Linked DNA regions of Nothobranchius furzeri. The protein of the gene in region 5 purifies or fractionates together with the protein of the main gene of each other region. This does not show direct contact. Links are inferred from orthologs where the notes say so. Each region holds a gene or a part of one and is shown on either strand. Other genes may lie near its edges.

The links.
Region 1: the proteins of cdk2 (region 5) and samhd1 purify together in Homo sapiens (affinity purification with mass spectrometry; 3 studies listed by BioGRID and IntAct, counting the BioPlex papers as one, with this or other methods). This does not show direct contact. The link is inferred for Nothobranchius furzeri from reciprocal best matches to the Homo sapiens genes CDK2 and SAMHD1.
Region 2: the proteins of cdk2 (region 5) and cullin-1 purify together in Homo sapiens (affinity purification with mass spectrometry; 4 studies listed by BioGRID and IntAct, counting the BioPlex papers as one, with this or other methods). This does not show direct contact. The link is inferred for Nothobranchius furzeri from reciprocal best matches to the Homo sapiens genes CDK2 and CUL1.
Region 3: the proteins of cdk2 (region 5) and prdx6 purify together in Homo sapiens (affinity purification with mass spectrometry; 3 studies listed by BioGRID, with this or other methods). This does not show direct contact. The link is inferred for Nothobranchius furzeri from reciprocal best matches to the Homo sapiens genes CDK2 and PRDX6.
Region 4: the proteins of cdk2 (region 5) and e2f4 purify together in Homo sapiens (affinity purification with mass spectrometry; 4 studies listed by BioGRID and IntAct, with this or other methods). This does not show direct contact. The link is inferred for Nothobranchius furzeri from reciprocal best matches to the Homo sapiens genes CDK2 and E2F4.
Region 6: the proteins of cdk2 (region 5) and ccnd1 purify together in Homo sapiens (affinity purification with western blotting; 12 studies listed by BioGRID and IntAct, counting the BioPlex papers as one, with this or other methods). This does not show direct contact. The link is inferred for Nothobranchius furzeri from reciprocal best matches to the Homo sapiens genes CDK2 and CCND1.
Region 7: the proteins of cdk2 (region 5) and golga2 purify together in Homo sapiens (affinity purification with mass spectrometry; 4 studies listed by BioGRID and IntAct, counting the BioPlex papers as one, with this or other methods). This does not show direct contact. The link is inferred for Nothobranchius furzeri from reciprocal best matches to the Homo sapiens genes CDK2 and GOLGA2.

Annotation. Positions count from the first base shown.
Region 1 is NC_091755.1:60,847,993-60,852,382, forward strand, and holds the start of samhd1 (deoxynucleoside triphosphate triphosphohydrolase SAMHD1), read right to left. Parts: upstream 2,845-4,390; 5' UTR 1,899-2,844; coding exon 1,727-1,898; intron 1,622-1,726; coding exon 1,555-1,621; intron 1,428-1,554; coding exon 1,361-1,427; intron 905-1,360; coding exon 744-904; intron 555-743; coding exon 439-554; intron 206-438; coding exon 135-205; intron 1-134.
Region 2 is NC_091747.1:63,530,823-63,535,140, forward strand, and holds the start of cullin-1, read left to right. Parts: upstream 1-1,353; 5' UTR 1,354-1,492; intron 1,493-4,318. UniProt on the Homo sapiens protein: Core component of multiple cullin-RING-based SCF (SKP1-CUL1-F-box protein) E3 ubiquitin-protein ligase complexes, which mediate the ubiquitination of proteins involved in cell cycle progression, signal transduction and transcription.
Region 3 is NC_091748.1:46,872,277-46,876,604, forward strand, and holds the start of prdx6 (peroxiredoxin-6), read left to right. Parts: upstream 1-1,535; intron 1,536-1,909; 5' UTR 1,910-1,918; coding exon 1,919-2,010; intron 2,011-4,328. Other genes in the region: polyisoprenoid diphosphate/phosphate phosphohydrolase PLPP6, read right to left, coding at 886-1,369. UniProt on the Homo sapiens protein: Thiol-specific peroxidase that catalyzes the reduction of hydrogen peroxide and organic hydroperoxides to water and alcohols, respectively. Can reduce H(2)O(2) and short chain organic, fatty acid, and phospholipid hydroperoxides.
Region 4 is NC_091744.1:86,783,065-86,787,667, reverse strand, and holds the start of e2f4 (transcription factor E2F4), read left to right. Parts: upstream 1-1,743; 5' UTR 1,744-1,877; coding exon 1,878-2,039; intron 2,040-3,179; coding exon 3,180-3,289; intron 3,290-4,195; coding exon 4,196-4,357; intron 4,358-4,603. UniProt on the Homo sapiens protein: Transcription activator that binds DNA cooperatively with DP proteins through the E2 recognition site, 5'-TTTC[CG]CGC-3' found in the promoter region of a number of genes whose products are involved in cell cycle regulation or in DNA replication.
Region 5 is NC_091743.1:49,088,307-49,092,827, reverse strand, and holds the start of cdk2 (cyclin-dependent kinase 2), read left to right. Parts: upstream 1-1,675; 5' UTR 1,676-1,817; coding exon 1,818-1,933; intron 1,934-4,521. UniProt on the Homo sapiens protein: Serine/threonine-protein kinase involved in the control of the cell cycle; essential for meiosis, but dispensable for mitosis. Phosphorylates CABLES1, CTNNB1, CDK2AP2, ERCC6, NBN, USP37, p53/TP53, NPM1, CDK7, RB1, BRCA2, MYC, NPAT, EZH2.
Region 6 is NC_091749.1:21,576,148-21,580,503, forward strand, and holds the start of ccnd1 (G1/S-specific cyclin-D1), read left to right. Parts: upstream 1-1,467; 5' UTR 1,468-1,644; coding exon 1,645-1,842; intron 1,843-2,546; coding exon 2,547-2,762; intron 2,763-3,248; coding exon 3,249-3,408; intron 3,409-4,356. UniProt on the Homo sapiens protein: Regulatory component of the cyclin D1-CDK4 (DC) complex that phosphorylates and inhibits members of the retinoblastoma (RB) protein family including RB1 and regulates the cell-cycle during G(1)/S transition.
Region 7 is NC_091746.1:54,879,630-54,883,444, reverse strand, and holds part of golga2 (golgin subfamily A member 2), read left to right. Parts: intron 1-220; coding exon 221-289; intron 290-805; coding exon 806-940; intron 941-1,218; coding exon 1,219-1,265; intron 1,266-1,910; coding exon 1,911-1,977; intron 1,978-2,461; coding exon 2,462-2,521; intron 2,522-2,901; coding exon 2,902-2,982; intron 2,983-3,410; coding exon 3,411-3,449; intron 3,450-3,562; coding exon 3,563-3,625; intron 3,626-3,815. UniProt on the Homo sapiens protein: Peripheral membrane component of the cis-Golgi stack that acts as a membrane skeleton that maintains the structure of the Golgi apparatus, and as a vesicle thether that facilitates vesicle fusion to the Golgi membrane.

The DNA.
Region 1 (4,390 bases), on a different chromosome or scaffold from region 5:
CTGTGAGTCACGTTTTTTTATTGTTCCAGATGTCAAGTAGTTTGGTCATGACTCATGTTCAAACTTCAGAAGCACCAAAATCTCCACAACATAGAACAGAACCAACCAGATTATAGGCTAGAAGAGTTTCTCACCTTCCAGTTCAGTTGTGGACGAGCTCTAGGCATGAACATGCCATCAAACATGTGAGAAAAGGGTCCATGTCCTGCAAAAAGAGGACAACCTTTAACTGTGATTACTGATGATTAACCACAGAAACGCCTAATGGACACAAGATGATGGAGTGAGACACTTACACTTCCTGTTTTCTATTACATAAAAGTCATTGAAAGTCTGTTGACTTTAAAAATAAAAAGGGGTTTGACTTCCAGATCGTAAAGATGTGAATAAAAACTCTAAAAGCTCAACTCGTCTCTGCGTGTGAAGAGCATCACTCACCCAGATCGTGGCAGAGTCCAGCGATCTGCACACACAGGATGTCCCGACGAGAGATGAGGAGTTCAGGCTGCCTCTCGTTCAGAGCTTGGACAAGTTGTCCAGCCAAGTACCCGACCCTGTATCAGCACACAGCAAGACAATCTGCCTCACACATGATATACAACCAAATCACACTGAGATTAACTTAGAACAGGACTTTCTGTGTCACCTGTGACCTTCTAGATAAATAATGTTAACATAGTTTTACAATAAATGTCACAGATGAGTTATAAACCATGCCAAAATGACAAATACATATGATGTACCCAATACTGTGTTCAAAGCGGTTGTGGGACGCTCCGGGAAACACGTAGTACGTCCCACCAAGCTGCTTGATGTATCGAAGCCTCTGAAACTGAAGGGTGTCGATGAATTTAATGAGGAGTGGATGTAAGTCCATGTGACCGTGGATGGGATCATTGAACACCTGGTGGCAAACAAACAGGTTTAGGAGGCAAAATAAAGGATAAGGGACATATTTGTGCCAATAAGTAAAAGTCATGATGACACAGAGTTCAATTATCCAGATAGAAACACTCACTCATAACTTTATTCAAACATATTTTATGTTTAATGTTGTTTTATACTTCCTTGGCAAAATGTGCAAGACATGACCCTGTATGAACGAGAAAACCCTATAGAGGTAAATACATGTTTGAGTTACAACTCTTTAAAAATGTTAAACCAGCTAAACAAACAAACAAATGCATTTAAATACAGTAAACTACTTTTGATTACACTAATTATGAATTCCCGCTCTCAGCAAGGCAGCATTCAGGTCACTGTCATGTTTTACAATCTATTTTGCATTTAGCTGTAAATAAAGTGCACATTCATCTCATCTTTGATGCCTTTAAAGTTTGTTTTGTGGGAAACTCTTTACCTTGTTAGTTTCTATCTGCCACAGCTTCCTGAGGCTGTGCAAGACCTGCAGGCGGTCACCCAAGGTCCTGAAATGAGGAAGATGATGTTGGGGGGTGGGGGTAAGAAAATAACCTGCTTATAATGAGCCGTAGAGAGCATATATCACATCCATGTTACAGTGCATTTGGGTACTTTATTAGATGGTAAACTCACTTTATGCCAATCTTCTCCAGGTCTTCATCCTTTAGGTACCTCAGGCCAACACCTGTGATGTTTTGGTCTTCACAACAAAACAACAGATAAAAATGTCACCCGGGCGCCGTGTGGTTTACTAACACGGTCCTTTTAATTTAAATGCTTCAACTTGTCAAATCAGAAAACAAACCTCTGAATGTTTTCTCCCATCGTCTCAGACCTTCGTTTCGCAGGTACCGACATGTTTCTTCCACTCCCCAAAGAAGGAAGTCTGAGTCCGGCTGCAGGACCGCAGACCTTCTCCTCTCCGGCGTTTTGAAGCCCTCGTCGGTCGAATCAATCGGTCGCTTCCGAGATGCCATGCTGGGATAAAACAGTTGACGGTTAATCGTTAAAAAGCGAATAAAAGCGGCGAACAAATTGAGCAGAAAACGTCTCTTGCGTACACAAGAAAAACAGCTGATCTGTCGGTTCAGAGCTGAAAGCGTCAGACCCGGGAAAACTGCGAGAGTGCCGAGTTTTGTGTTTCCCGGAACAGAAAAGCTATGAATAAAAAGGAGCGTTTCCGGTTTATCATTTCAAAGTAAATCTCCACAAACCCAATGTCAAGTAAAAGTTTGGCTATGCTAAAAATACTAACACAGTTTATTTTTTTTAAGTTGTCGTATAATTTACTTTAATATCTGTGACAGATCTGACAGTACCATTAATCAGGACACTGAAAGGCAACCTCTAGTTGAAAACATGAACGAACATTAAAATCTTTGTTTATATAAAATTTTATTTTTTTAATTAAATTCTTTTAAGATCCATTTTACCCCGAACTGTACAATCTACTAGATGCTTAAACATAGCAAAACTGCTTTGCATATAATGTGTTTGTTAAAATGGGAGGTGTCTATCTCAAAAATAAAACAGGCTAGGTTACACCTTGTGCTCTATTCAGAACATTACTGTCTAATTAATATTTGCTGGTTTCAGGCATGTTTAGCTTGAACAACTTGCTTAAACTTTAAACATCGATCAAATCTACTCAGAGTTTCTATCACAAACCCACTTTTTAATTTTCTCCATTTACTGATGGATAATTAAATTCTTTACTACAGAATTGTCCTTCACAACATCATGCTTATCAACCCTAGCCATGAAAGTGGGATTTTATATCTTATATATTTTTATTATTGATTTAATTTTGGCAATTTTTGCTAAACACTTCCGGTTTGGGGTGGTACAAAAAAAAACTGCTGTCAATGCACCTCGGAAATGTCGTGTTTAAATAGTTTCATTTTCACACTTTTAAACGCGTTCATAACGGCATTGGGGAAAAATGAACACACATTATGTTAGAGAAATGTAGTATTTTACACAATTCCCCACTGAAGTGTAAAGTAGTGTTCATGTTTACTGGGAAGGCTGTTTTCCATCTGGTGTTTCTTACCAGTGATGGGAAAGTCCCAGTTCGCTCTGCTGTCATCAGTAAATTAAACCAGTGGGACCAACATTTTAGGTATTATATTTCATTACAGTGAAACAGTTTTAAACGTACAGCACTGCCTACATGTCATCTTCATCTGTCGTGTCCTCTGTGATGGTATGACCAGGGTATTTTACTTTCTTGGTGACACGAATCACAGTCTGACAGATGAAAATTTGGAAACTTCATTTGCTTTTCCTCCTTGGCACAATAAATCATAACCACACTTTTAGCTGCATTATACACAATTTTGTGTTCTACTCCACAGTCAGAGCAAATGTACAATATCTGCTGTAGACCAGCTGTGCTCGAAATTAGAACCACTAAATCATCTGCATACATCAGATGATTTACAGGACCACCAGCTGCACAGCCAGTCCTGCTGGGCTTTAACCTCACTGATAAGTCATCCATGTACAGGTTCAAAAGAAGAGGAGATAGAATGCCTTCTTATCTGACTCCATTACTGACCTTAAATGGCTCTGAGATACTATTACCTTATTTTATCTGTACCATTTGTTGACCATACCGATAAACCAGGATGCGTACAGTGTATCTTGGGATACCTCTTTGCAGCAGCTTCATGAAGTTTCCTGTGGTTAACTTTATCAAATGCCTTGGATGCATCTATGAAGCACAATAAAGACGGAGGAATTTTTATATCTGGTCACAATCTCCTTTAGAGCACATATACACACGTCTGTACCAAGCTCAGACTTAAAGCCAAACTGATTATCTGTGATTTTTAAGGTGTTATTAATTCTGTCCAGCAGAAAGAATGTTCAGAGTATGCTAGCTTGAGCAATGGGCCTCTAGTTATTATACATGTTACCAACTCTCCCACCCTTGTCTTTCATATGATTGTATTATTTTGTGTTACACAATTATATTGATCTTAAATAAAAAAAATTTTTGTAAAATCCTTCAAAATATCTAGATAAACTGCTCTGACAAATGGCACTATGACAAGTTATGTGTACAGAAGTTTGACCGACAACATCAAACAGACACAAGATGGCACAATTGCTCAACACTTTTTATTCTGTGAGCCTCCCAGTACGGATCCAGTAAATGGGTCCTTTGCCAGATCAGAAGATCAGCTGAGTCTTGTGTCTTTTATATTTTGCCATCTGATTGATAATTTAACAATGAACTTGGAGGGATTTCAGCAACACCTTGGATAACCTAGAAATCTGTCGAGTTTCACAAAACAAATTTCTGTGTCGACAATAACAAAAGTCATTCATCATGGAAAATGGCCTGTATTTGATATAGCTCCTTCTAGAGTCCTGGATTAATTAACTACATTGTAGCCACAGCTGCTCTGGGGCACATGGACAGAGGCGAGTCTGCCGTACACAGGTGCCACCGATCCCTCCG
Region 2 (4,318 bases), on a different chromosome or scaffold from region 5:
TTTAAATCAGAAACATTCTTGAAGATGTTGTCCGGCACATTTTTAATGTTTTAATGTTTATTTTCACACAGGATTTCACCAGATAGGTAGGAATCTTAGTTACTGAAATATTACATTTTAGCTCCATCTCTATGAAACTGAGTAGGAGCCATTTTCGTGTTTGATGATCGGTTTGAATCAGGTTAGAATCCGCTGTTCTGATGCAGTTCCCTGATCCACCAGCAGATGGCCCTCTGCTGGTGGAATAGAGAAACCACTGGTGGAGAACATTTGGTTCTGTGTGTGCGCGCGTGATCATTCTGATTATTTTAATGTTACTGCTCGGGTATTTTGTCTCGCGTATATAAAAACAAGTTAAAATAAACTGATGAAATGTCAGAGTCGTGCTTCTCTGGCATAAATAATTCAAATATCGCCTCAAAGGACTGAACTGCGCATGCCCCACAGGTATCACCCGCAACCATAATTGTAGTTTTCAACAGTAGACCTTTCTGCGGGATGCAGATGATGCATTCAGTGAAAGATTTTGAGCTGCGAAATCATAAAGATGCGCTTGCCCGCTGCGTTGGCCTGTTTGAATTCATTAAAATGTTTAAAAAGAAGAAATTTAACCCGTTTTAATTCGTAAAATCAAATTGTTCTCCAAATTGGGCAATCTGTTGTCTCTAACCTACAAAATGAATGGGTTCCTTTTATTTTGAAAGACAACTAAAATTGATGTTTTTTGGTGGTGGTTTGTGTGTGTGTGTGTGTGTGTGTGTGTGTGTGTGTGTGTGTGTGTATATACTTGTCTTTATAGGTTTAAGTGGACAAATTTGAACTATAACCTGTACTGTGTAGACATTTTTACATTGTGGGGATTTTTTGCTGGTCCACACAATGTGGAGCACCCTAAAACTTGTTTTTAGAGGTATGGCATTAGTTAGGGATAGGGTATGGGTAGGCATAGTGGAGTAACTAACATGGAGCAGGGTGTCAATGAAGGGCCACACAAACATAAAAACAAGCGTGTGTGCGTGCGCGTGCGTGCGTGAGTGTGTTTGTAAAACATCAAACCAGTAGAGCTCGCCTTTATTTGTCACTTGATTATTTTCTTGTGCAATTAATAATATTAATAAAACATTATTAAATAGGTTTCGGTTTCTTTCTTTTTCAGAGTAATTCAGCAAGTAAAGTAAAATATAGATATTAAGAAAGTAAAATAAGATATAGAATAATAGTGTTAATGAAAGAGAATGTTGACACAATTATTTTGGGCATACTGTAATGTGTCATTCTAAGCGTATTCGTGAGATTTCATCACGCAAGCTGATTTTCCGACGGACCCTGAACGCATCCTTGTTCTGATCTTTGTGAGGAGCAGCGAAACGATCGCAGTTAGCCACGGCCAGCAGGAGCTCCGTTCGGCGGAACACAGCGGAGGATACCGAGCCTGGACGCGATTAAAACACCTTTCCAGCGATTACACGATCCCCACAACGAACTAAGAATGGTAAGAAGACGTTTAAGGGCTGCGATTGTTCGCTGGGTGGATCTTTTGTACGGAGCTTAGCTGGAGGTCTAGCTGGCTAATGCTAAACGGCTAGCGAACTGTTTTCCTGACTCATTATCGAACAGAAGCCATTTTACAGCAGGCAGCTAGAGAGTCCTGGGCGCTGCTGTTGGCTCGGCGGCGACGGTGCCGGTCTTTAATAATGCTCCCGGGTACTAACGCTTTACCTTAACCAGTTTTGGGACGGAAACAAACGCTGTAGTTGGATTAAAAGCTCGTCCACCCAACGGCCAGGCAGCTGTGCTAGGTGGCTATCTGAAAAAGCTAAGACTTCGCAGTTGCGTAGCAGCGTCGAACGCCAGCCTGGTGAGATGAAATCCCAACAATAGTCTCATAAAACCTAAAACTTAATGTTGGTTTGAGCTTCATGTGACAAAAGAGTGTCAGGGAAGTAGATTTAATCCGAAGAGAAGCCCTGGCCCTCTGGCTACAAGAGACTGGATGTTTCTGGAGAACCTGGAAAATCTTAAATCCCACATTTTCTATCCCGGAGAGCAGAGGAGGCTTGGAATGATGATTTGGTTTATTATTTTTGTTCCACAAATGATCGCTGCTCTTACACGTTACACCAAAAAATACAACCTAGAGATCAATCTGACTCGAACACAATCTTTCCAATAGTTCTTAATAATCTGGTGGATTTTTCTGTGTAGTCTATAAACGAAGAACTATCCATGGGTTATATTTGTTTTTATTTAAATGTTGTGGAGTTTCTGATGAAGAGTCAGCGATCACACAAGATGCGTCAAAATACAAATAAACAAAACAAGGAAATGGCTTTAAAATAAGTGGTTATCAGTATTTGTGATTGGTTCGTTTTTCCTTCAAAGTAAAAGCTTGGTTTTCTGTCACCTTTCATATCTGTTTAAAATGAGAAAAAATCAGAATTTATTTATTTGTTAAGGTTTGTTAAGTGATTAGATGTAACCAGTAACAGCAAGACAACCAAGGCACAGATTAAACCACCACACCTGTGTTTTTGAGAGATTATTTCATCGGAATAATCCAGAACTTGTCTTTGATGTTCAGCCGCCACAATAAGAAATTTTTATTTATTTCTCTTAGATTTAAAACTGCAGTTTAAACTAGTTTCCCTAATCCCACTGTTCCCAGCAGGAATTCTGTGCCAGGAACCCCTGGTTAGTTTTGTTGACAGCAGGGACTTTGGATAAAAACACCTTCTGTACTGACGCCACAGCTTTCATACTAAAGTGGACTAAACTTTACTTATACAGAAGAACAACCTTTATTCATAAAGATCCGCCCACTTTAATAATGATGATGATAGCTGATAAACATTTAATAAATAGGAGGTGAGGCATAGATTAACTTTTATTCTCTAAGGAGCTTTAATCCTTGTTTTTATTTAATTTAATGATCATTTAAGGTTTTACATTCAGTCCAGTTTGGTTCCGGATCTGGTCTCAGATGGTTCCTACAGACACACAAGCTGGTTGAGGTTCTTCTAATCCCAGGATTATAATCTGTGTTAATGAAAAACTGGTAAACACTTTAAACTGAGTTCCTGGAGAGAACATTAGGTCTTCTGCAGAGACCTGGATTGGGGCAGATCTGGACCAGGGTCTGGGACGGACTACTATGTGTGTGTGAGCTTTAATCTCACTCAATGCACCAGAGAGGAGAGAATCAGATCAGATCCGTTCGGACCAGAACCTCTGGCCATAAGAACAGCTTCTTCCCGTCTGCTGTTGGACTCGTGAACGACAATCCTAGGGTTACCCACTCCCGTGGTGTGGTTCCAGTCACCTGACATGATGTTGTTTGTACCTGAGCTGATCTGCTCTGATTAGTACCTACACAGTAGTAGGGCTGTCACGGTAACCGCAAAAATGAAATATCGCGATATGAAGAAGCCCACCGCGCTGCATCATGGGCCACCGCGATTACTGAACTTGGTTCAACTCAATGATGCATGTTGAGAAGGATGGCTGCACTGGTATCAAAGCAAAACGTTACTTCGCTCCTTTGGGAGCACTTTGGTTTTCAGTACGTCAGCTGCTGCGCAGCCAGAGTCCTTGGCCGAGACAGAGCTGCCACCAGCGGCAAAAATAAATAAATAAATAAACTAGGGCTGCAACAAACGATTATTTGGATAATCGATTAATCGGATGGGGTCTCGACACGATTAATCGGATTACATGGGGAAATTTTTAAAAACTGCTAGGGAAACGTTATTTCTCTCCTTCCTTCACTTTATTTAACACAACATTATTAGAAAACAGTTCAATAGCAGAAAAATAACATGCCATCACCTAAATTGTCTTATAAGGTGTATAGACAGAGACCCTAAGCTACATCTATCTGTGACCTAAAATGCTTGGTCCAAGTTAAACAGCTTAAGGGCAATTCTCATCTGTTTTGTTTGATCTCATCTGTTGACATTTATTTTAAATGTAATTAAACATAGGCTGTGAATTTATCAAAATTGATCACTATTTCCAAAAATGACTGAAAAAATACCAAATAAAACAAAAGTAAATGAATGCCATCCTACTTGTGATGATGCCCTGGGCAACTGCCATAAAGTCACATCAAGAAATGCTGCTGATCATTCCAATGATCCCAAATAGACTCACATTAGGCCACATGAAAGCAACTGAACCCAAAAATATATGAACCAGTATATAACTGCACTCTCACACAACACGCCTGCAGCAACAGTTAGGACTCCTCCCTCCCTTTTAAAAGCATTTTTGCTTCTGAGGACATTGTGGTTGTAAAACCACATGCTAGTAGTCTGGCCCC
Region 3 (4,328 bases), on a different chromosome or scaffold from region 5:
GGTCCAGTTAGGATAAGGACTTTCACACCTTTTACACATAGATTCCTTACGGGTCCATGAAAAGCGGGCTAGGATCCCCAGGAAGAAATAATACATTTCTCTGCATAATTAAATGATAGACAAAATGAGATTAACTGAAGCTTATGAATCATGGCCAGTACTTTAGTTTTATAAGTAGTTTCATAAGTCTACTTTTGGTAATATGTGGACTAACGGACCTCTCCTGGGATCCAAAACAACCAGGGAATGGCGGTCAGCCAGGCTATTTCCAACCATATTGGCTGTCTGACAATCGGCTAGGTTAAGGTTAAAAAATGGTGCAAGAATGGTGAATAATCACAACAGTAATGAAAGGAAAACATTGGTGCAGAAACATGGTGTTGACCATTTCTGACTTTGTAATAACTGACCTAAACTCCTTCTGAAAACACAGCCATGATTATTAAAATTAATAAACTGTCTTTTTCTTCCTCTGTAATAAAGTTTTGATTGTGTTTTGTCAGTGTTGAAAGTACCATCAGTCCATTGTAAGAAATACCACATATGTAGCAATCTAGATCTGGTCAAAGTGACGTATGAGGTTGATAAATGGCAATCAAGCTGGGAATAATGCGTTAACATGCGACTTTCCTGCAACATCACAAGGTGTCAGAAAATACGTTGTGACTACGTTGTTGCAACGGACCTGTGTTAGTAGGGAAGCATCGATAACGACAAAAAACATAAGTCAGATTAGTTACAAAGGGAGGAGAGATCAGATGCAGAAGATGATTAGATTCTGATTGTGTGTAGCAGGAATAACTGGATCGTGTTTGAATGGTGTTGTATCTGTGCTGTTTACATGCAGCAGCAACATAAAGAACACATAACAGACAGTAGCTTTACCCATGAGGAGATTGAGCATGACTTCTTGTCCTGCAGCACTGTCGCTTTTATATAGACAGTATGCGGCACCGGCCAGCCACGGGATGCCATGACCTGACACCTCTATCAGTTTCATTAAGGGGCGCACACTGCCCCAGGACGAGTCCTCGCAGGCACACACACCCAGCCGCTTGGACAACCACAAGTCGATGGCGAGCAAGGAGCTGAGCGAAACGCGGATCAGGGAGGGGTTGAGCCGTATGCCGTCCTCCTCAGGTGGCCCCTGACCGCTCGCCGAGCCCGTGGAGGAGTTGGAGCCCCGGCGCCGAGAGGGGCTCTCCGAGGCTCGAAGGCGGGCGGTGGTCGGGTCGGAACCCTGTCGCTGAAGGTGAGACGGTGAAGAGCGGCCCGTCTGCTTCGTCGACGAGAAAAACTCGTAGGAGCTGCCGGAGAGCCCCGGGCTTCCTCCGCTGCGACCGGGGTTTTTAGCTTTAGGAGAGGGCATTTTATCGAATAATCCACCGATGCTGGCAGGAGGATGTGACGTTATGTATCCGAACCAAATAAATAAATGTACTATACTGTTCTGAGGGTTGTCACTTCGTTAATTCATCTGTTGTTCATTTGACAATTCCTATCACGTCCAGGTACGCCAAACCGAACCGCCATATTTGTTGTTCTTGTCACAAAGACTTTTGGGAAATTGAGTAGGAAAAGGCAAAGAGTCTATCGCCTGAACGGGGAGGGACAATAACAGATAATTATTTTTCAACGGTAGGGTTGGTTTTCTTGGTGCGGGATTTTTATGTTTCACCCTTTTAATGTAATTTTTATTTAATATTTCAGTACTTATTTTTAGTTAATCTAATTTTTTGGGGGGGGGGGGGGGGGGACGACGACAATACGTGTCTTTCTTTTGCTTTCTGATTGGTCAGAATCTTGCCTTAGCCCCGCCCTTATCCGGGTTCTGTTCATAAGCAACAGAGCAGCGTGAGGCGCGTGGCGTTGTTAGGCTGACTCACTCCCTTCCTTCTGTTGTGTTTAGAGCCGAACCATGCCTGGACTTCTGCTCGGCGACGTTGTGCCAAACTTCGAGGCCGACACCACGGTCGGAAGGATCACATTTCACGATTTTCTGGGAGACTCGTGAGTGTACACGCTTTGTGTGATGCTTTTGGGTCAGCGTGTCTGTTTCCTAATCTCTGTAGAATGAGTATCCCTGAAACACGACTACACTCGTTATTTTCTAAGTTGTACATCAAAGTGAAATATTTTAGCTCATTTGACTCTAATTTATAGTACACACCTGACTGACTTACCTGCTGATAGTGATGTGATGAAACAATTTGTTTGCATAAGTAGTTTTTGTTTTTTATTGAAGAGACTTGTTAAACAAACAAACCATGTGTGATGGCCCAACATCAGGCCACACTTAAACAAGTCGATTGACCTGCTGTGATCTCTGGGAGTGGCCAAACAAAGATGGTGGCCAGGGCTCCAAGCAGTTAAATATCTGCAAGCTAATTGGACTGCGCCACCAGTTCCTGATGGATAGGTGAAATTAGTGTATGCTTGAGTAAAATTGGCTTTTGTTTTCTTGATTAGGTATTTGTATTTAAATTAGTAAATATTAGTCTCTTCTTTGATGTTTAGTTTACCAAACAGCTGGACTACACTGATTGTGTTTATTGTGAGTGTTGTATTGTTTAGGTGACCCCCATTGTTTGTATTGGTTTGATTATATATATACCCCGTGTGTCTGTTCTTGGGAGGTCAGTTAAGTTTGTTTGTGTAGCCAGTTGCTTTGCTCACATTTTTGCCTGAGTTCTGTTATTTGACCTCTTATGAGCTCAGCATTTATCTTTGTTAAATTAAGTTCTTGTGTTGATAATCAAAAGATAAAAAATGAACCCTATTTTTCTAAAGTATTCCTGTGAGGCCTCATGCTTCACCACTGGTCCCTCACACCATGTAACATGATAGTAAACTAACAAAAAAATCACCAACATGATTATTTTAAAGAAGTAAAACGGATCTCTTCTCACCTGTATGGTTTTATGATTATTTTATACAGTACAGATATGTCACTTTATTAAAGACACAAGAAGGTCCATAACAGATAATAAAAACATAAATAAGTAGAATAAGTTAAATAAATGCAAGCTGTTTCATTGTCACATAAAGGTTAGGATGCCAATATTTCCACATATTAGAATAGAACATAACAGATCTGTGTGTGAGATACCCGTATGGTTTTTATGATTATTTTATACAAACGTCTGCTTTAGTAATTGGTTACAGCTTTTTAAGCAACAATTAATTTGAAGTAGTGAACTAAAACAAGATAAAATGCACTTCAGTATTTCACTTTCTCATCAGATTAGGTTAGATGTGTATTCTATTAGAAAATGCTCTGTTTCCGGTGTTTGTGTACACTTATGCACACTTGTTGTCTAGTTTGGACATGAACTGTGTAAATATGCACATCTTCTGGATCACGTTTTAGCAAATCCTTGTTTTGCATTATTTATAGAATAATGTTTCTGCTTTAAACAAACATTCAGCAATCTTGTAGCAGTGCTTGCCTACTACGGTTTTAAAACAATGGGGGGGGGGGGGGGTACACATTTTGTTTCAGTTTGGTTAATACAGAACTACTGTTGCCTCTAACCAATCCTTCCTTCTAATGTAGATTTGTTTAGCCCCATGCCCAATGTTTGTTTTTATTTAAATGAAGATAACATATGGACAAGGACCAGTGCAACTTCTCAGAGTGGATGTAATCTTTGAAGTCTTGGCTTTGACAGTGAGAGACATCAGTTGGAGTGACCGCACAATAACCATTTCCCTCTCTCCTCATCGGGAATCTCTGCTGGATTGTGTGGCGGTCATCTGTTAAAGTCGTGTCCCACTTCATTAGGCTCACTGTTGTTTCCCATCAGTTACGCTTGTTCCTGCCAACACCAGCGGAAGCTTTATTCCTGAAGAATAAACTTTAGGTCGCCACTTTTCAAGCCTAAAAGTCGCTTGTTTAGCAATGGAAGAAAACATTTTAGGATTGTCCTGACCTTTTCTGGGCTTCTCAACAGTCATGATCCTGGTGCATAAGGGGAGCATGGATCTTCTCCTCCCCGTTTCATGTGATAAGTCACAATACATTGTTTCGCTTTGCAGGAAATGGTTGGCACACCCATGACGGCTGGAGTAATTCTTGAGTTTGATTCTTCAGGAATTGCAGATGCTTGTTGATTCAATTAGAACCCAGAGGGCCGTTATCCTGCATGTTTTTGTTGTTTTCCTGCTTCAGCACACCCAATTTTAACCAGCAGATGATTAACAGGCGTCTACTGAGCTCAATGAGCTGGTGAACAGGTGATTGAACCACTGAATCAGAAGTTGTGAACCAGAGAAACAACTAAAACATGCTGTATAGCAGCCCTTGAAGACCAGTGTTCCCCACCCCC
Region 4 (4,603 bases), on a different chromosome or scaffold from region 5:
TTTGATCAACAGTCTAATGACACTGAGGACATGAGGACATGTTGAATAAAAAACACAGAATTTGGGAAAATATACTATATTATAGGGTGTGGATTCCACGAGGAAAAATGTTTTTCTAAATTCAGTTCAATTCAAAAATACTTTATTAATCCCAGAGGGAAATTGATTGCTGTAGCTCAGAATAATAATAATAATCAAGTCATCAAAGAGTTGTTGTATATTACAATGGCTGTTGGCAGGAAGGATCTCCAGTAGCGGTCAGTGTTGCAGCCAAACTGAAGAAGCCTCTGACTGAAGACACTCTTCTGTTGTCGGACAGTCTTGTGAAGAGAATGCTCAGGGTTGTCCATAATTTTCTTGATTCTCTGGAGAATCCTTCTTTGCATTATCTCCTCCAGTGGTTTCGAAACTGCCGACACTCTGGCTGAGTCCTTGAAAGGGCTTGGAGTTCCTCCATCTTGTTGGCCAGTGATCTCACATCGCCCATTATGATCGATGGAAGAGATGGTTTGAATTTCCTCTTTCTCTGTCTCCGTTTTGCTCCCGCTCTGCACCCACGCTTCTTGCGTTTAGCTCATTTGGGATTTGTGGCTTCAGTTGAGGTAATATTTCAGCCTTTCCAATGTTAATCAGCTGCTCCTGATTGTAAACCATTTGTTGCCATAGTTACGCATCATAACAAATGCTCAAAAAGTGAAAAAAGCTAAAACATAGCAGTAAAAATCCTCCAAGCTTCACAGCACCAGAAACAGAAAAGTAAAGTGTCCAAAAAATACAGTTTTTTTTGAGAAACTAGAAGAAAAATGCCCAAGAAAAGGCAAAACTTACACATAGTCAACTCCAACATGCAGCCGCCCAGAGCAGCGCAGTTCTGGAAAGACAATAATTATACACTGTACACAAAGCTAAAGTACGGAAGGTTGACAACTAGTGTGTGTCAAAACCATACTGCAAAATAACTTGGTTATTATAGGATAAGAAAATAATTAATGGAATATGATTCATTCTTTTGTAACTAGCAGATGTACCAATGCATTGTTTAAGTAATATGGCAACACCCGTGTATGATATTTTTCTTTTCATTTATGACAGCTTGTCACATCTCCATAACAAAAATATGCCTTCCTGGACGTTTAAAGCTGGGTTTTGTGTAAATAATTCGTAGATGTGATGAAAAACAAATGACCGGGCCTTGACTTGAGTCTTGCTCATCTCTTGGTCCAACTGACACGAAGAATAAAGTAAAAATTTAACAAACAAAATTACAGTAAATAATAACGAAACATAATCAATTAATTTGCATGCAAATGAACTACTAAGAACGTGCAGACTTTAGTGGGGTTTTTTGCGCACGTAAAAGTGCGCGTCTGTTCGTGTGCGTGTTTGGGTAGATAAGGGTAAGCACATAAATTGTAGTATTAAATAAATACGTATAATTCATAATTTTAATGGATGCAACCAATACGTAAAGACAATGCAAACATATTCTGATACAACTCATCTGTAATATAAAATATTTACCAGCTAATTTTAATGAACTTTTGTTTTAAATTAAGCAGCCACTATTTTATTTTTGTACACGTCTTCTAAACAACGTGAGTATTCTCAGACACTCCCTTGTACGATTGAACCGTCCCGTCATACCTCGCGTGGCCAACGGCTCTCTACCACCGACTGCCTGCTCATTGAATTACAGCACTCATCGTGTTCAGATACATTTGGGCAACTATTTTCTAATCTAATCCACACGGATTAAAAAAACACCACCACGCAATCTCGGGCTGCTGTGTACTCGACTCCGGCGGTGGAGCTCTCCTGTGCTCGCGGGTTGGAACTGGTCGGGGAAGCGGGGGGAAGTACGGAGCTTGTCCCGAGTGATGGAGCTGGAGTCGGCTAGTAACCGAGGCGACCCGGGAGCGGTGGGAGATTCGCTGCAGCCACAGACCCCAAGCAGGCATGAAAAGAGCCTGGGACTGCTCACGACCAAATTCGTGACCTTGCTACAGGAGGCGAAAGACGGAGTGCTGGATTTGAAAGCTGTGAGCATTCAACCCGGAGTCTTTGTTGTCAGCTAGCACATGTCATACAGAGCCTACCCGCTGTCGTTACTTTCGCTAGCATATTAGCTTAGCTTAGCTCTGTCATGCTAATTTGAATGGATGTAACCTGTTAGCTTCGGGGTTTACAGTATTTGAACATTTGTGATACTCTAACTTTGTTTATTTTGGTGACTCGGTGTGTTAGCGTCCCATAGACACGAACCGTTCAGTCAGACGTGAAATTAACTTTGAAAACAACACCGGCCAACTTTTCAGACTCGCTCTGCCCCCTGCAGATTCAAACTCTCAAAAGTGGGTCAGCTTTTGTTGCTAGTAACATAGTGTGGCATCTTCACACTTGAGCAGTTTCTTTTTTCTGATGGGTATGGCCTTTTCTCTCTGAACGATAAGCACCCCCACTGCGTTAGTTTTAGGAAATATCTTAAATGTGTTGTTTTTTTAATGAGACCTGCCCACTTCCATTAGGTACACAAACGCAGCATAGCTCCTTATTGGTTTTTATCAAGTCCGATTCCAAAAACGTGCAAATCTTTGTGTTTAAACACGTAGAAGTAGTGGATATGCCTCCTCAGTAATGTCAAGATGCTGAGAACTAACCTACTTATTTGATGCAGTACTACTAATACACATGTCCTGACAAACATCTGAATTCAGATACCTCAGACTTGTCAGATTAGTAATGCTCCAAAACAGAAACATTTATAAACACAGTGCCACCTCTGAGCCAAAGTCTAGTAAACCAGGTGGTGTTTAGATTAACTTGACTTCATAATTTCATAAACTAGCTTCCTGGCTGCGGGCACTTATGGTTGCATTGCACTCTGCAGATCATAAAATACCAGACGCTCAGATGTTTTTCTTTCTCTTTCGTTCAGTCCAACTGACTTAAGTCCAGCTATTTGAAAAAGCTTAGACTTATCAGCTCCTTGCAAATTGTTTTTATCTCCTAAGACCCAAAGACTTGGCTGGGCAGGAAGTGTAGATGTCACACCCAGATGGTTTGTAAAATATATCTTTTTTGTGTATTTTACACTCAGCCATGACATTTTCTGTGCAAAAGAGCCAAATGTGTGTTTGTTATTCATATTTTATTCATTGTATTTGTCCTTTTTCTTTCAGGCAGCAGATACCTTGGCAGTGCGGCAAAAACGACGTATATACGACATTACTAATGTCCTGGAAGGAATTGGTCTTATAGAGAAGAAATCTAAGAACAGTATTCAATGGAAGTAAGTTTTATTTGTATGTATGGCTTCATGAAAAGACTAGAATTTATAACTGCAGTCTGTAATAAATTGTTCTTAGCCTTCATGTTTCATGTTTTCATGAAACATCAAGCCTTCATGTTTTCATCATTGTCTTATGTAACAGGGATTACGTCTGAATCGGCTGCAGTTTTCTGAACACGATTGTCTGAGCCTCACCTTTCAATTTTTAAACTGTAGTGATGTTTGTTATATGTAATCATACTAACATATCATATGCCAATACTTTGAGGATATTTATGACTTTGAGGTTTTGCAGCAGTCCTTAACACTTAAAGAGCAAGTCACCCCCTACCAGATTCTTACTCCCCTCCCACTTCCTGTTTGAAAAATGCAACAAATGCTGTTGCCTAGCAGACCGAGAGGGTGGAGCCGCTAACAAACACACACAGGATCACAACGACATTGTGACATCATATGGAACCAGCTAACATTCTAGGGTACCTCTTAGCCAATAGCGATGACAGATTTAAATTCAAATACAGTGCAGAGTTTTTACCTGACAACGGCACAACACTGACAGTTTTAGGCAGAAAATTTAAATTTGAACTAAAATGCACTAAAGTGCAAAACTATTGACTACACGTGTCTGCAGCACGATTAGACACGCATTTATGTAGTTTATCAGAAAATAAGTTGATTTGGGGGTGACTTGCTCTTTAATGTCCTACATACATAAAACAATGCCGTAAGGGAAATGACTATGAGCATGGCTGATTAGCATGTCTTCTACCTGAGTTAGACGTGAGATGAATCTATCTGCAGCTTGTTTTGGCTACAAGTTCATCGTTTATGCTGGGAAAAAGGTTGACGGCGAGTTTTCTTTGCCTGTTGAATGTGAATGACCACGTGCTTACCAATGTGTTTCAGGGGTGTCGGCCCTGGCTGCAACACCAGGGAGATTGCAGATAAGCTGATTGATCTAAAGGCTGAGCTAGACGACTTGGCTGTCCGGGAACACGAGCTGGACCAGCAAAGAGTCTGGGTTCAACAAAGCATCAAGAATGTCACAGACGACTCCAACAACAGCCCATATCTTTCACTGCTGTGTGTGCGTGCATGCGGATGTTTAAACTTTTTCAAGAGAGAGTTTTGTAATAATGTGGACTGTGAGCACCTGGTCACCTAAAGGGGTATTCGACCAATTTTGCACTTAAAAGTCACACAGATTATCACTCAGTCTGTAAAAAGTTGTGACTTTTCACATGATTTAAAGCCAGACATCTTAATGTTTCACTGCTAGTCATATTTCAAAGTTTCAGTGAGAGTTTGATGTTT
Region 5 (4,521 bases):
CATTAAAAAAAACTGAAATACTTAAACGCAGCAGCACCTGCCTGCTTCTCACGCACTGGCACCCATTAGCTCTGTTAAGGTCTGTGTGGTTTATAAATGTGCCTATATAAACAAATTCTCAAACTACTGATTGAAACATGTGCCCCTATTCTAATATGCCATTTTATGTCCACTTTGATATGTCAAAAACCATTCGTTTATTCTCATGAAAATGGCAGCATTCTATTTTTCTGTTAATAAATTCGCTCTGCAGTAAAAAAAAAATACAGCATTCACTACTGGGTTGGAGAGCGCATTTTCAGAGTGGCAGATTAAATTTACAAACGCTATATTAATTGGGGGTGTTTCTGAAAATGTGCTCTGCAGTTAGAAAATTAGAATGCTGCTTTTTTTTTCCTAATTGCACAAGAGCGCATTTTCAGAGCAGATAAAATTTACAAACGCATCCAATTAATATAGTGTTCGTAAATTTCATCTGCTGCTCGAAAAATACGCTGTTAGAAAAAAAAGCTGCATTGAATGCTGTTTTTCTTTCTTTCCTTTCTTTTTTTTTTTTTTTTTTTTTACTACGGAACGCTTCCCACAGATAATTAGAATGCTGAGCCTTCTATCACGCTAAAACATCATGAAAGGTTAAAGAAAAAAAGTCGGCCTCGGGCTCGGGTTGGGCCAGAGAATCCTGAAAACTTTTTCGGACTGGTTTGGGCTGGGGCTCCACCCCCTCGGGCCGGGCGGACACGGGCTCAGATTTTAGGCCTGTGCAGGGCTGTAGTCCCAATTCTTTGCCCCCCCCCCCCCCCCCCCCCCCCCCCCCAATAATTGTTTACATTCTCCAACCACAACTAAAACTACAATGAAGACAGTTTAGGTGGAAAACAAAGTCATTTAAATTATTGATAAATTAAGATACAATAATGCTTTTAGTTATTTTAGAGTGCATCTGGCCCGTCTACTGTAAAAACCTCAGGACCAAACTTGGTTGAGGACTCCTGTTCTAAGGTAAAGAAATTAATTAAATGTTTAAAAAACTAACAATGGCAACTTTAAACTTATATGATGGTAGGCTAAAATGGAATTAATGTTTGTGAAATTAGATCTAATTGACAAGAAAATAATTTTATAAACACATTTTTTACAAACAAAAGCACTCCACATCCCTCTAAGATGACGTCAGGGTACGTCATCCATTTTGATCATGTGACCAGTGAGGGCTGCTCATTTAGTGTCTCCGTCTCATCCCAACTTCTGGTGATTTCTAACAACACGTTAAATTTAACAAACACCAGAAGTACTTTTGTGAACATTTTTATCTAATCTAAAGCGTTGGATTCATTCATAGCGGTCCCCTGTGAGAACACTGCAAGATAAGCAATAAAATAAAGAGTACAGTGCCACCCATTCGAAATAATCGGTGTATCATGAAGTCAAAAACGAACGCTCCTCTTACAACGCGGGAAACGCCGCTGTGTTGGTTCAGTTTTGTGGACTGAGCTGCGACCGTCGCGCTCCCCTTTTGAATTAATCCACATAATTACTATCGAGGCTGGGCACACATGCCCATATACCTGTTTTTGTGTTGTCGTTTGATCTGAGAGCGTTTCATCTTCTACACGAACCCCCTATCTCCCGCTCGGCTGTTTCCGGACTGGCCGAAGGGAGCCGGGGCGGCGGTTAGTGTCGGTTTGTCCCCGCGTTGCTCCTTAACATCGCCCCTCTGTAGCCACCGAGCCGCTGTCGCTGCTGCTGCTAGCGCGCACACAAAGAGACCAGTATTGCTAAGCAGCTAAACTTTAAACAGTCCCGCTCTTGTAAGCAAAATGGACTCATTTCAGAAAGTGGAGAAGATAGGAGAAGGGACGTATGGAGTGGTGTACAAAGCCAAGAATAAAGTGACCGGAGAAACTGTTGCTCTGAAGAAAATCCGCCTGGACACGTAAGTTAAGAGGCAGGAGTTATCTCCAGAGCTAACGCCGCGCTAAAAACATCCACTAATGCTTCAGATTTTTTTTTTATCCACGACCTCGTGGCTGGTGATCGTCTGCCCACTTCCTGCAACAACAGAAATAAGCGTTTCTCGTTAAACTGTAATTATTCAGTGCCTAATATAACCTCCACACAGGACTAAGTGACGTAGCATCCTTGGATATAACCCTGTAGGTTAGCTGGATATGTTTGTTTATGTTTATGCTTATGTGCTTAGCAGACGCTTTTACCCAAAGCGACTTACAATTTTTTGCAAGTCGCTTTGGGTAAAAGCGTCTGAGCAAGTGAAATATGTAACTATTTAAGGGAATTTTTCATTGTCTTGTGTTTTAGTCTACGATCAGATGTTACTAGTGAGTGATCAGAAGTAGTTTTCTGACTCTACATTGAATGCTATTCTGTTTCATTCCTTTGGTTGATTTATTAGTTGAATGGACATGTTTTATAGTTTTGCTGCTGTAGGAGGGTACCTTTCAGTATCTCAAGCTGTCAAACTACCAACATACCCAAACTTCAGCACTCTGAAAAAAGCATTTGGATCCTTATCGATGTCTTCCAACACAAATACCAGAGATGATCAAAGTAAAAACAGAAAGCAGTTTTCAAATGATGATTTAATTTATTTATTAAGGAAACAAACAACCAATCAACACCCTTAGCTGCATAAACATCCATCAAGCATCTGTGAGAACTAATAACAAGGCTTACATTGCTGTGAAGGATTCCTAGACCACATTTTTTTGACATTGTTTTATTCCAGCCAAACGAGTGGGTTGACATGTTTGAAGTCATGGTTCCATCAATTACAGTAAGTGGTCAAGGTCCTGAAGCAGCCCCAGACCATCACTCTGCCACCACCGTGTCTGACTGTTGGTATATTGATGTGTTTCTGAAGTTAGTTTTTCACCAAAATAGTCTCACCACTCCAGAGAATATTTTCAAAAAAGTCTCAAAGATGCTGTTGACTGAAAAACCATTTTAAATATGTTTTTCCTGATTATGGTTACTGAGTTTTTCATGCAGACTGAACATGAAAATAGTCTCCCACACCTTTCTCCTGCATTAGCTTCTGATAGAAAATAGACGGTGAAACTAGAATTAGAAAAGCCTGACAGATCTACGTCACACTGAATAACATTCATGGACTCACCCATCTTGGGTGTTGTTGGATTAGTGTCCAGTAAATTTTTTGTTCTAGTGTCCAGGAAACAGCAGAGAACTTCTCAGCTAATTCAAGCTAACCTTTAGCATTAGCAATGCCACCACACAGCCGAAGTTCCTCCAGCCTTGTGTTATTTGTGGAGATAAAATGTCTATGTTGCAAATCAGTGGTCGAGTTGCATTGCTGTTGTCCGATCCGGAGTGAGATGTCCAAATATCAGGAAAAAGACTCCAAATCCTGCCATCAGAAGGTCTGCTGTGATGTGGGCAAATTTTAGGTCAGAAGAATGGTGCACTGGGATATTTCTTCCCCCTGCAAACAACTTACTCGTCATTTATTAGTACTAGAGACTACTACAAAAATGCATTGATTAAACAAGTGTTCCACTTTCTAAAATATCATCAAGATGCTCTTTGGAGACGGTGAGATGGGTCTTTGTGTGGTCACCAGAGATGTTTTACGGAACTGTCCCATAGAGGCTTTTTTGTCTCATCTCTTTCTTATTGTTGAATTTGACCTTAAACTAGCAAAGGCACCATCTGCTGCTGTGTGGGATCATTTAGCGTACTCGATAGCCATGTTTCCACTATTGAAGTTCCAGGAAAACACAATGGATCAGTGTTTTCAGCCGTTGTGTCTGTACAAAATCAGCCTTTTCAGGACTTTGCAAATACGTCAGCATATCATCAGCATGTTTGCAATGAGTGACGTCACTGATCAGCGCGTCCATAGACAATTAAAACATTTTAAAAGTGTAAGAATATAGTAAGAATTTTACAGTGAGAAAGTCCCAAAAGAGTCTAATGTTTCAGTCATTTTGGAAGAAAGGTTACACTGAAACATATTTCATATCCAGCTGGTTGTGGGGATTGCCACTTTTTCTCCATTCAAAACAAAAGGAGGGTCGTAACTACTGTTTACCATCAGTGAGTGAGGGGGTGCCATATCTACTGCAAGCTAATACCGCAGCGCCGACAGTTGTAATTTGACAACTGCCGGCAAAAAGCACAGGATAAAATTTTGACTTCATTTCTACATAATGCACCTTTAAAATTTTTATTCCGTCAAAGTACGCCATAATTTAATCCGTTCGAGGTTAGGGTTGCAGGGATTAACCGGTTTGACTGTTAACCTCGGTTAACTCCCCGTACAGACGTATCCAACACCATCTATAAAAACAATAAAAAGACAATATGGCGTGAGCCGTTAGGACGAAAACAAAAGCGAAAATGAACGCGAGCATGCAGCAGAAGCAGTGACAACAACCATCGGGACCATTTGGGATATGAGGAGAGCAGCTGCGTGACATGAAAAGCATTTTGCGTTTTACTCATCATCGGTGTCTGATATGGCAATTTGTAGAATAAATTCATAAA
Region 6 (4,356 bases), on a different chromosome or scaffold from region 5:
TGAATGAATGAACAAAGGCGACCAAACAACAGTGGGCTGATTGTGTTTTATCTCAGCTCACATGCGAATCAGAAAGGATCTCATAACATCTCAATATTTCAATGAATCAGAATATGAATCTTAACAAGATTCCAAAGTAAAATGTGAAAGTGAGAGGTTCTGGTCAGAGCGACCCGGGACGCTTCACTCGCAGTCAGGAAAGTGTGTAAACTTCTGTTTTCATCATTGTACGTTTTTGTGAGTGTTTTGAGACTGTTGTTTTGAGATTGTCATCACATAAAGCACAATAAAATGTATTATTGTTATTAAATTTATTATGATGTGTTTCTGTTTGGAGTTGTGTTGTTTTCTTTACCCTGACAACAACAAAGTGAGCCTTGAGGACAGTGGCCAGAGAGGAGGCTCTATTCAGGCATTACGGTAGTGAATCCAGCAGCCAGAGAGGAATTCCAGGAATGCTCAAAGGCTCTGACTCAAATTGAAACTAGACTTGGATCTTCTGAGTTTACACAGCAGCTGTGTCCACGAACAAGTTGGTTCTGATCCAACAAGCTCTCTCACCACTAATATGTTCTACTGGCTGAATAAAGCAGCTCAAAGAGGAACATCTGTGTCTAAAGATCCAGTTCACACTTGGACTGGGTCAACCACCATCACCCAAAACAGGATTCTGCCTGGTAACAGCAGGTCCTCCCATTGGTCCAACCCCTGTGTGTGTGTGTGTGTGTGTGTGTGTGTGTGTGTGTGTGTGTGTGTGTGTGTGTGTGTGTGTGTGTGTGTGTGTGTGTGTGTGTGCGCGTGTGTGTGTGTGTGTGTGTGTGTGTGTGTGTGTGTGTGTGTGTGTGTGTGTGTGTGTGTGTGTGTGTGTGTGTGTGTGTGTGTGGATCTAGTAGGGTTAGGGTTCTGAATGGAGGTCTCATTTTAGTGATGTCACATGTTCTGGACCATGTGGTTCCTGCTGATCTGAACCCAGTAGGGCTCACAGGGAACCTAGCAGAATCCAGTAGAACCAAAACTCCACCAGTAGGTGTGAACTGAACAGAACCAGGGTCCTCTGTGGAACTCAGTACCAGAACTACAGAGTTGGACCAGTACTCGGTCTAGTTTTGGGTCGTGATAAGGTGAGATGAATGAGTTACTCCCCCCTCCTCCTTGTGTCCTCTGCTGTTCATTCACACCGAACCGAACCGGCAGCAGGACAAAGGGGGAGGGTCACTGCCGCCCCCTGCCGCCTGTTGGGCCCGGAGGCCCGGTCCCAGACCTCCCACCTCCTCCTAGGGCTAGAGGGAGGAGGGCTCTTCCTGCTCGCGCGCTTGCAGACCGCTTCTCTTTGATCTCACCTCCTCCCACCGCGGCCCCGCCCCTTAACAACAGCCTACGTCACCCGCCTTTACTTGTTCCCAAGCGAAAAAGCCGTTTGTGTGTGGGCGTACAGACACGCGCGCGCAGGGAGGTGCGCGCGGAGGTTTTGTTCGCCAGAGCGAGGCGGTCCGGACCTCAGAGGACTCGCGCACACCAGAGGGGCAGCAGCACACGGAGCAGCCCTGACACCGGGATTCAAAAATACCAGATAGAAAAGACACCGGGCCGGTTCTAGCAGGACACTTGTACCGAACCGGTTCTCTCTGTGTTCCGAGCCAAACCATGGATGAGCAGCTGCTGTGCTGCGAAGTGGACTCCATCCGGAGAGCCTACCAGGACGTGAACCTGTTGAATGACCGGGTCCTCCGAACCATGCTGCGGGCCGAGGAGAACTACCTGCCGGCTCCGAACTACTTCAAGTGCGTCCAAAAGGAAATAGCTCCTAAAATGAGGAAGATCCTAGCGACCTGGATGCTGGAGGTGAGTTTTGATTGTCCCTGGGAATGGTTCCGGTTCTGATCCGGCTGCCCCATCCAGCTCCGGTTTGGACCCGGTCTGGACTGCCGTACCGAAGGCAGTGAGGTCGAACCGATCCGGATTTACTCCAGAATTCACAGTAATGTACACGTATGCAGTCCGGCCCAGCAGGTCCGGACAGTGCGCCATCTTTGCCACCGACGAGATAGGATTTAAAGTCCGTTAAAACCAGTCAGACATCAGCCAGAACCGAGCCGGACCCACCAGGCTCCACAGAAACCAGACCAACTTCAGTTCCACTGGGTCTAAAACTGTCTTGGTTCCGAACGGCTCCGCTGAGGATGGCAGACCAAAAAAAAAAAACAGTTTTAAAGGATGAAAGGGTACCAAATGGGTCTGAAGGTTCGGCTCAGTGTCTCCGGTGTTCTCACGCGTCTGCAGAAAGACTCGGTCCTATTCTGGTCATTTTTATTCATTTTACAAGCTGCCTGGACCGGTCTGGTCCGGACCCGAACCGAGCACGCGAAGGAGCCTCGTGCCCAAACCCAACAGGTCCCGAGGGGCCGGTGTGTCCGAACGTACCGAGTTCTGGTGATTAAAGTGTGTGTGTGCGTGTGTGAGATAGAGAGAATGTGTGTGTGCGTGCGTGTGTGTGTGTGAGACAGTGCGTGTGTGGAGGACTCACCTGTCCGCTCCTCTCCCTTCAGGTGTGTGAGGAGCAGAAGTGTGAGGAGGAGGTCTTTCCTCTGGCCATGAACTACCTGGACCGGTTCCTGTCCGTGGAGTCCAGCAGGAAGAGCCGCCTGCAACTGCTGGGAGCCGCGTGCATGTTCCTGGCGTCCAAGATGAAGGAGACGGTTCCGTTAACGGCGGAGAAGCTCTGCATCTACACGGACAACTCGGTCCAGCCCGGAGAGCTGCTGGTAAGGGCTTTAGGACCGTGTGGGAGGCTGCTGCAGGCACACCAGCAGATCAGGTGTTTAGAAGAAGAAAAAGTTTCTCATTTAGCAAACATCAAGATAAAGAATCACGAGGCTCTTCACAAGAGCCAACAATAAATACTAATATAGAAAATAAAGTAAACAGGAGAGCCTGAGAGAGACAGAAACACCAGCATGAAAAGAAGCCAGTGAGGAAGAAGAGGAGATCAACCTCATCTTCATCACTAGCATCTTTTTTGAGGTGTCAAAAACCAGAACAAAGGTCACGTCACACTTCACCTGCAAGGTTGTCCTCTCCTCACGTGTGTCCATCCCACCAGAAGGTTGTGGGAGATGGAACAAATAGTGTTCTTCTGGAGCGTCTGACAGGCTTGTCTGGTGGTCTACACTGACCCCTAGTGGCCGAGAGGTGCAGCAGCAGGCAGACGCTGAGTTAACGTCTGATTGGTTGTTCTGGTCCACCCACAGCAGATGGAGCTGTTGGTTCTGAACAAGCTGAAGTGGGACCTGGCTTCAGTCACGCCTCATGACTTCATCGAGCACTTCCTGTCCAAACTGAAGATCCATTTGTCCACAAAGCAGATCCTCAGGAAACACGCCCAGACCTTCGTGGCTCTCTGTGCTACAGGTGGGTGCTGGACGTCAGGATTCAGGAGTGGATCCACACACACACGCACGCACGCACACACACACACACACACTAGTGTTGTCAAAAAAATCGATACCTAGATATAAATTGATACTAAAAGTGGTATCTAAATTAGATATTCCATCCCTGTGGTATCGATATTATGGACTATTATACACAGCCTTCTTCAAGTACACCAACACGCACGACAGCCAGATGCCGTAAAGAAGCCTCCGCCTCCCAGACAAACAGAAGAAGAAGATGCCGCATGGCTACATTGCAATTTCCCACGCGAGTTGTCTCCGATCCAAGTTTTGTCTGCCAAATAATAAACAAAAACATAAACAGCGAATTTGGGAGGCGCTTCACAGCCCAACTTCATTAGCATACCAAGTCCGACACGTAGTTGTATATTCACGCTTATGTGCTTAAAGGAAAACTCCCATTTATTGCAACCCGGACTTAATTTCTAGCATGCAGTACGTTTGTTTACTCACGCTGACAACTTTGGTGCTACTTGGATTCTCCGGGGTATTTAGATCCATCGGCAAATCGCCATCAGCGTATATCCATATAACGGGTGCGGACGGGCACCCATGGTGCAGCCTTGAAATAAGACATTATCTGCACCAAAACATCTCTATGTCGAAAGGTTTAGTTAGGAATCATTAACATGATTCCCCTGTTCGTTTGGAGCGGGTCTAGGATTTCTAGGCGTGAACAGACTAGCCGCGGCTAATCTAACCGGTGCTTTTAATTACGTCACTGCTGTGCGCCAATCTGTTTTTATTAAGATTACCGGTAGATGTACCTTTGTCCTACTGTGGAGAAATTCGTTTTCTCCCTTTATTGACCAACAGAGTTGTTCAAAAGTACAGAACAAAACATATGGCATTACATCTTATGACAAAAATGCACCTTAAACAGAGTTTAAGCAGCAAAACATCA
Region 7 (3,815 bases), on a different chromosome or scaffold from region 5:
AAGGAAACCATCAGGGTGGAATAAAAAAAAATTGACTGGGTTTTACTCTGTTGGACAGGATAGTAGTTCCCATGATTTTCTTTTTCCTGCACACTCGCATCTAGAGCTTCTCCCCCATGGTAGCTGCTTCTCTGTGCACGCTTGCTTGCCTCTGTCACTAGGTAAATTGTTCCTTGGCCTGTCTCTTCTCTCTCTTAGTCTCTGTTTCTTTTTGCTGTAGTTTGACAGTTTTCTGAAAGCACTTAGTCAGAGCAATGGAGTAGTCCTCCCACCTAATGGCACCTGTCAGGTGAGCCTCTGTCCCTCTCTTTCTGCTTTACTTGGTTTTCTTCACCCCTTTTAATGTAAAAACGTGTTTCTATTTTTTAATTTGCAACTTCTGCTCCATTTCCTTATTCTTGCATCACATGATAAACTTTGTCACATAGAAGTAGTCTTTCCTAGGCATTGCTTCTTTTAAACCCATCAAGAAAACTTTATACTGTATGTTGCACAAGTGTTTTCACTTTTTTGTCTCATAATTCATCTTAATAAAGTTTTTGGCGTTTCTTGTTAAATGCAAAATGTAGACATGCATCACTGGATTAACAAATGGTGTGCACGTGTGTGTGTGTGCGTGTGCTCATTTTTCAGTATTGCTTGCTTTTAAAAATAGTAATTTTCAATGTTGCATACACTGAGCTCATATTAAAATCATAGTTTCTAACCTAGTTAAATGTTTGGAACAGAAACTGTTGCAATGTCACTGTTGCCATTAGCTCTTGACAGTATAACAGTGTGTATTTGTGTGTGTGTGTTGTCGCAGATCTTTGCTGACATGGAGGCTGTGGGCTCTTCTGTTGCCCAGCTGCAGGAGGAGCCAAACAGCGAGCCTGTTAACCCCGCAAATGCTAACACTGCTACTAACTCTGAGTTTGTCAGTCACAACACTGAGCTGCAGGTGTGTGTGTGTGTGTGTGTGTGTGTCTCCTTTTATGCCCTGTTTCCACCTCTGCATTTTAAAACACATCTACCAGATTTACTTGCATCTCCATCAATATAAACCATCATGTGTTTATCAGGGGTGTTGATTACTTTACATAGTTTTTTCCCTTTTTTACATTTTAAGAGGAAGAATTAAAATGTTTTTTGACATGTTTTGTGTTCGTATTGTTAAATGTTATCATCTTTTCCTGTATCTATTTTTCTTTTTGCATTTTCTTTTCTATCCATATACAGGCCTTCTCTGACACCAATGGAAATGAGAGTTTAAAGGAGGAAAATAGGTGAGTTACCCCACTCAGATCTATCTCTGTTTTGTCACGATAATTCACATTTGATTTAAAGAAGATAGAAATTGATTGAGAGCTCTTGTAAAATGTTATCTGGGTTTCTTTTTGGATCTGGTTGTGTGTGTGTGTGTGTGTGTGTGTGTGTGTGTGTGTGTGTGTGTGTGTGTGTGTGTGTGTGTGTGTGTGTGTGTGTGTGTGTGTGTGTGTGTGTGTGTGTGTGTGTGTGTGTGTGTGTGTGTGTGTGTGTGTGTGTGTGTGTGTGTGTGTGTGTGTGTGTGCAGTTAAAATGTCCCATTTCTACCTATCTTGGATAAACTGGCACATTTTTAGCCCTAATCACACAGCTGCAGTGATTTCCTGTATTTTATCTCATTTTACTGTTTTTGGGAGTCACAAAAAGGGAAGGTCATCATGGAAAAGCTTAAGACTACATTAACTGTTTACAATAAATTGAAATACAACACCAAACTAACTTTATTTTAGCAGCACTTAATGGAAAGGGTTATTGACAACAGCCCCAACAGGCTTTAATTTCTCATTAATCCAGTTGATTTGATTTAAAGAGCCTTATTTTTGCTTGTGGTGTGAAGTGGTTGCTGTTGCTTTTCGGTTGGGTGTTTATGTGTGTCTCCTGTCCAGCAGACCGCTGTCTTCCACTGAGAGCCTGAGACAACTCTCCCAGCAGCTGAACGGTCTGGTCTCCGAGGTAAGCCGTTACACCCACCACTGTCCTCCTCTTTGTTATGCAGTGTTGGGATTTTATTACAAATACATCACCTCCTCTCAAGCAGTGTGTGTTGCATCTATTGGGAAGAAACTTCTCTCTTGTCCTTCCTTTTTTGATGACCTGAAGCAGACTGCTAGAGTTATCAGCCAGCTTATCTTCTCTGAACTTGTTTTTTGTTTTGTGACAATCAGAAGTACAAAATTTGCTTTTTGGTTTTGTTTTTAAAATGATTCAGATCATTGTCATTGTTACCAGTTCATATCTTACTGAGTTATTAGCCGAACTAATCACTGCTTTGCTGTGGCTTTTGGCTTGTAGCAGTGAATTTTTAAATGTTAATACTTATTTGTAAAATCACCTACGGTGGTGAAAGTTGGGCTGGGATGCAAATGAGGCCAGCTCAACCATGTTAGCCTACTCACACACTGATCACGTATAAATCATCCTTTTCTTGTTATTCCAGTCAACTGCTGCATACGTGAATGGAGAGAGTGCACCTTCAGTCAGTGAGAAAGAACTAGAGGTGAAAAGAAAACAAATTTCTTTTTCTTGATATTTCACCCTTGAGTTTTACTTGTTTGTTATTCCAGACGTTCTGGTCCCTGCCTGTATCTGTCTGTGGCTGTGCCACAGATACTGTTTCATTGTTACATGATAGTATCCTAATGCATGCATCAGTATCAGACTCCAGATTGGAGTTTTGTTTGTGTCACTTCTCATTGTGAAAATATTCTTTTATTCATCACCACCTATAGCAGTTCCATTGTTTGCTTTCATGTTAATCTTCTACATTTGAATATTTTTCTTGCTCCTGTGTTCTTTGTTTGACTTTAGTCACCACACTTTATCACTGTCTTTTTTTCTTTCCTTTTTGTTTCCCGGATGCATGCGTGCACGTGATAGAGTCGGAACCAGGAGCTGACAGCCGCCCTGGAATCTTGCAAGCTAACAAATTTTCAGCTCAATACCAACCTAGAGCAGCTGGTAAGAAGCTGTGTGTGTGTGCGTGTGTGTGCGTGCATGTTGTTAACCCTTTCCTCCCTTCTACAGTTATTTATTGTGACACACTTTGCATGCCATCATTTCTTTATTTTCTCATTTGCATCCTCTGCTCAGGTTTTTTTAAACTATTAATCCAAGCACCTGCAACACCAGCTGCCCTTTGAGTTCACATTTTGACCCTGACTGTCATTATCGTTTTGTTTTGGCATGAAAGTTGGGACTTGTTAAGCCAGCTTAGCCCTCTAATGACAATAGACTCAAAGTTTTGAACTGTTTTTTGTTTGTTGCACAGCAGTGTTGTTTCTAGCATGCAGATGAGATCTTTTGCAGTGTTTTATGATGTCTTTATGTTGAGACTGGGAAAGTATTTGTATTATTAAAGCCAAACTCCTAATTTGTCTGTTTGGCAGGTACAGCAATCCCAGGGACTCACAGATCAGCTACAGAAGGTTGGAGGATTTTCACACTCCTGCTAGAAACCTCATGTTTACTCCTAGATCATCTTTTTACCTTCTCGTCTTCTTGATGCTCACCTCCATCGTGTGCTGTTCTCTGCCTTCAGGAGCGAAAAGAATTTGAACAGAAATTTACGAAAGAGCAAGGAGCCATGCGGGAGCAATTGCAGGTGAATTCTCGTCGCAAAAAGGTTCTCTTGTTTTTGGCTGAATCGTTTTTTAGGATTCATGCGGTTGAGTCATAACAGGTCAAACTAGTATGGAGGTTATCTCTATTGTCAGTTGGTGCATTCATTTGTTATTGTTGTTTAAATGGAAAGAAGGCCTGTTTTCATCCTTTACATTCCAACTCTCCCATCC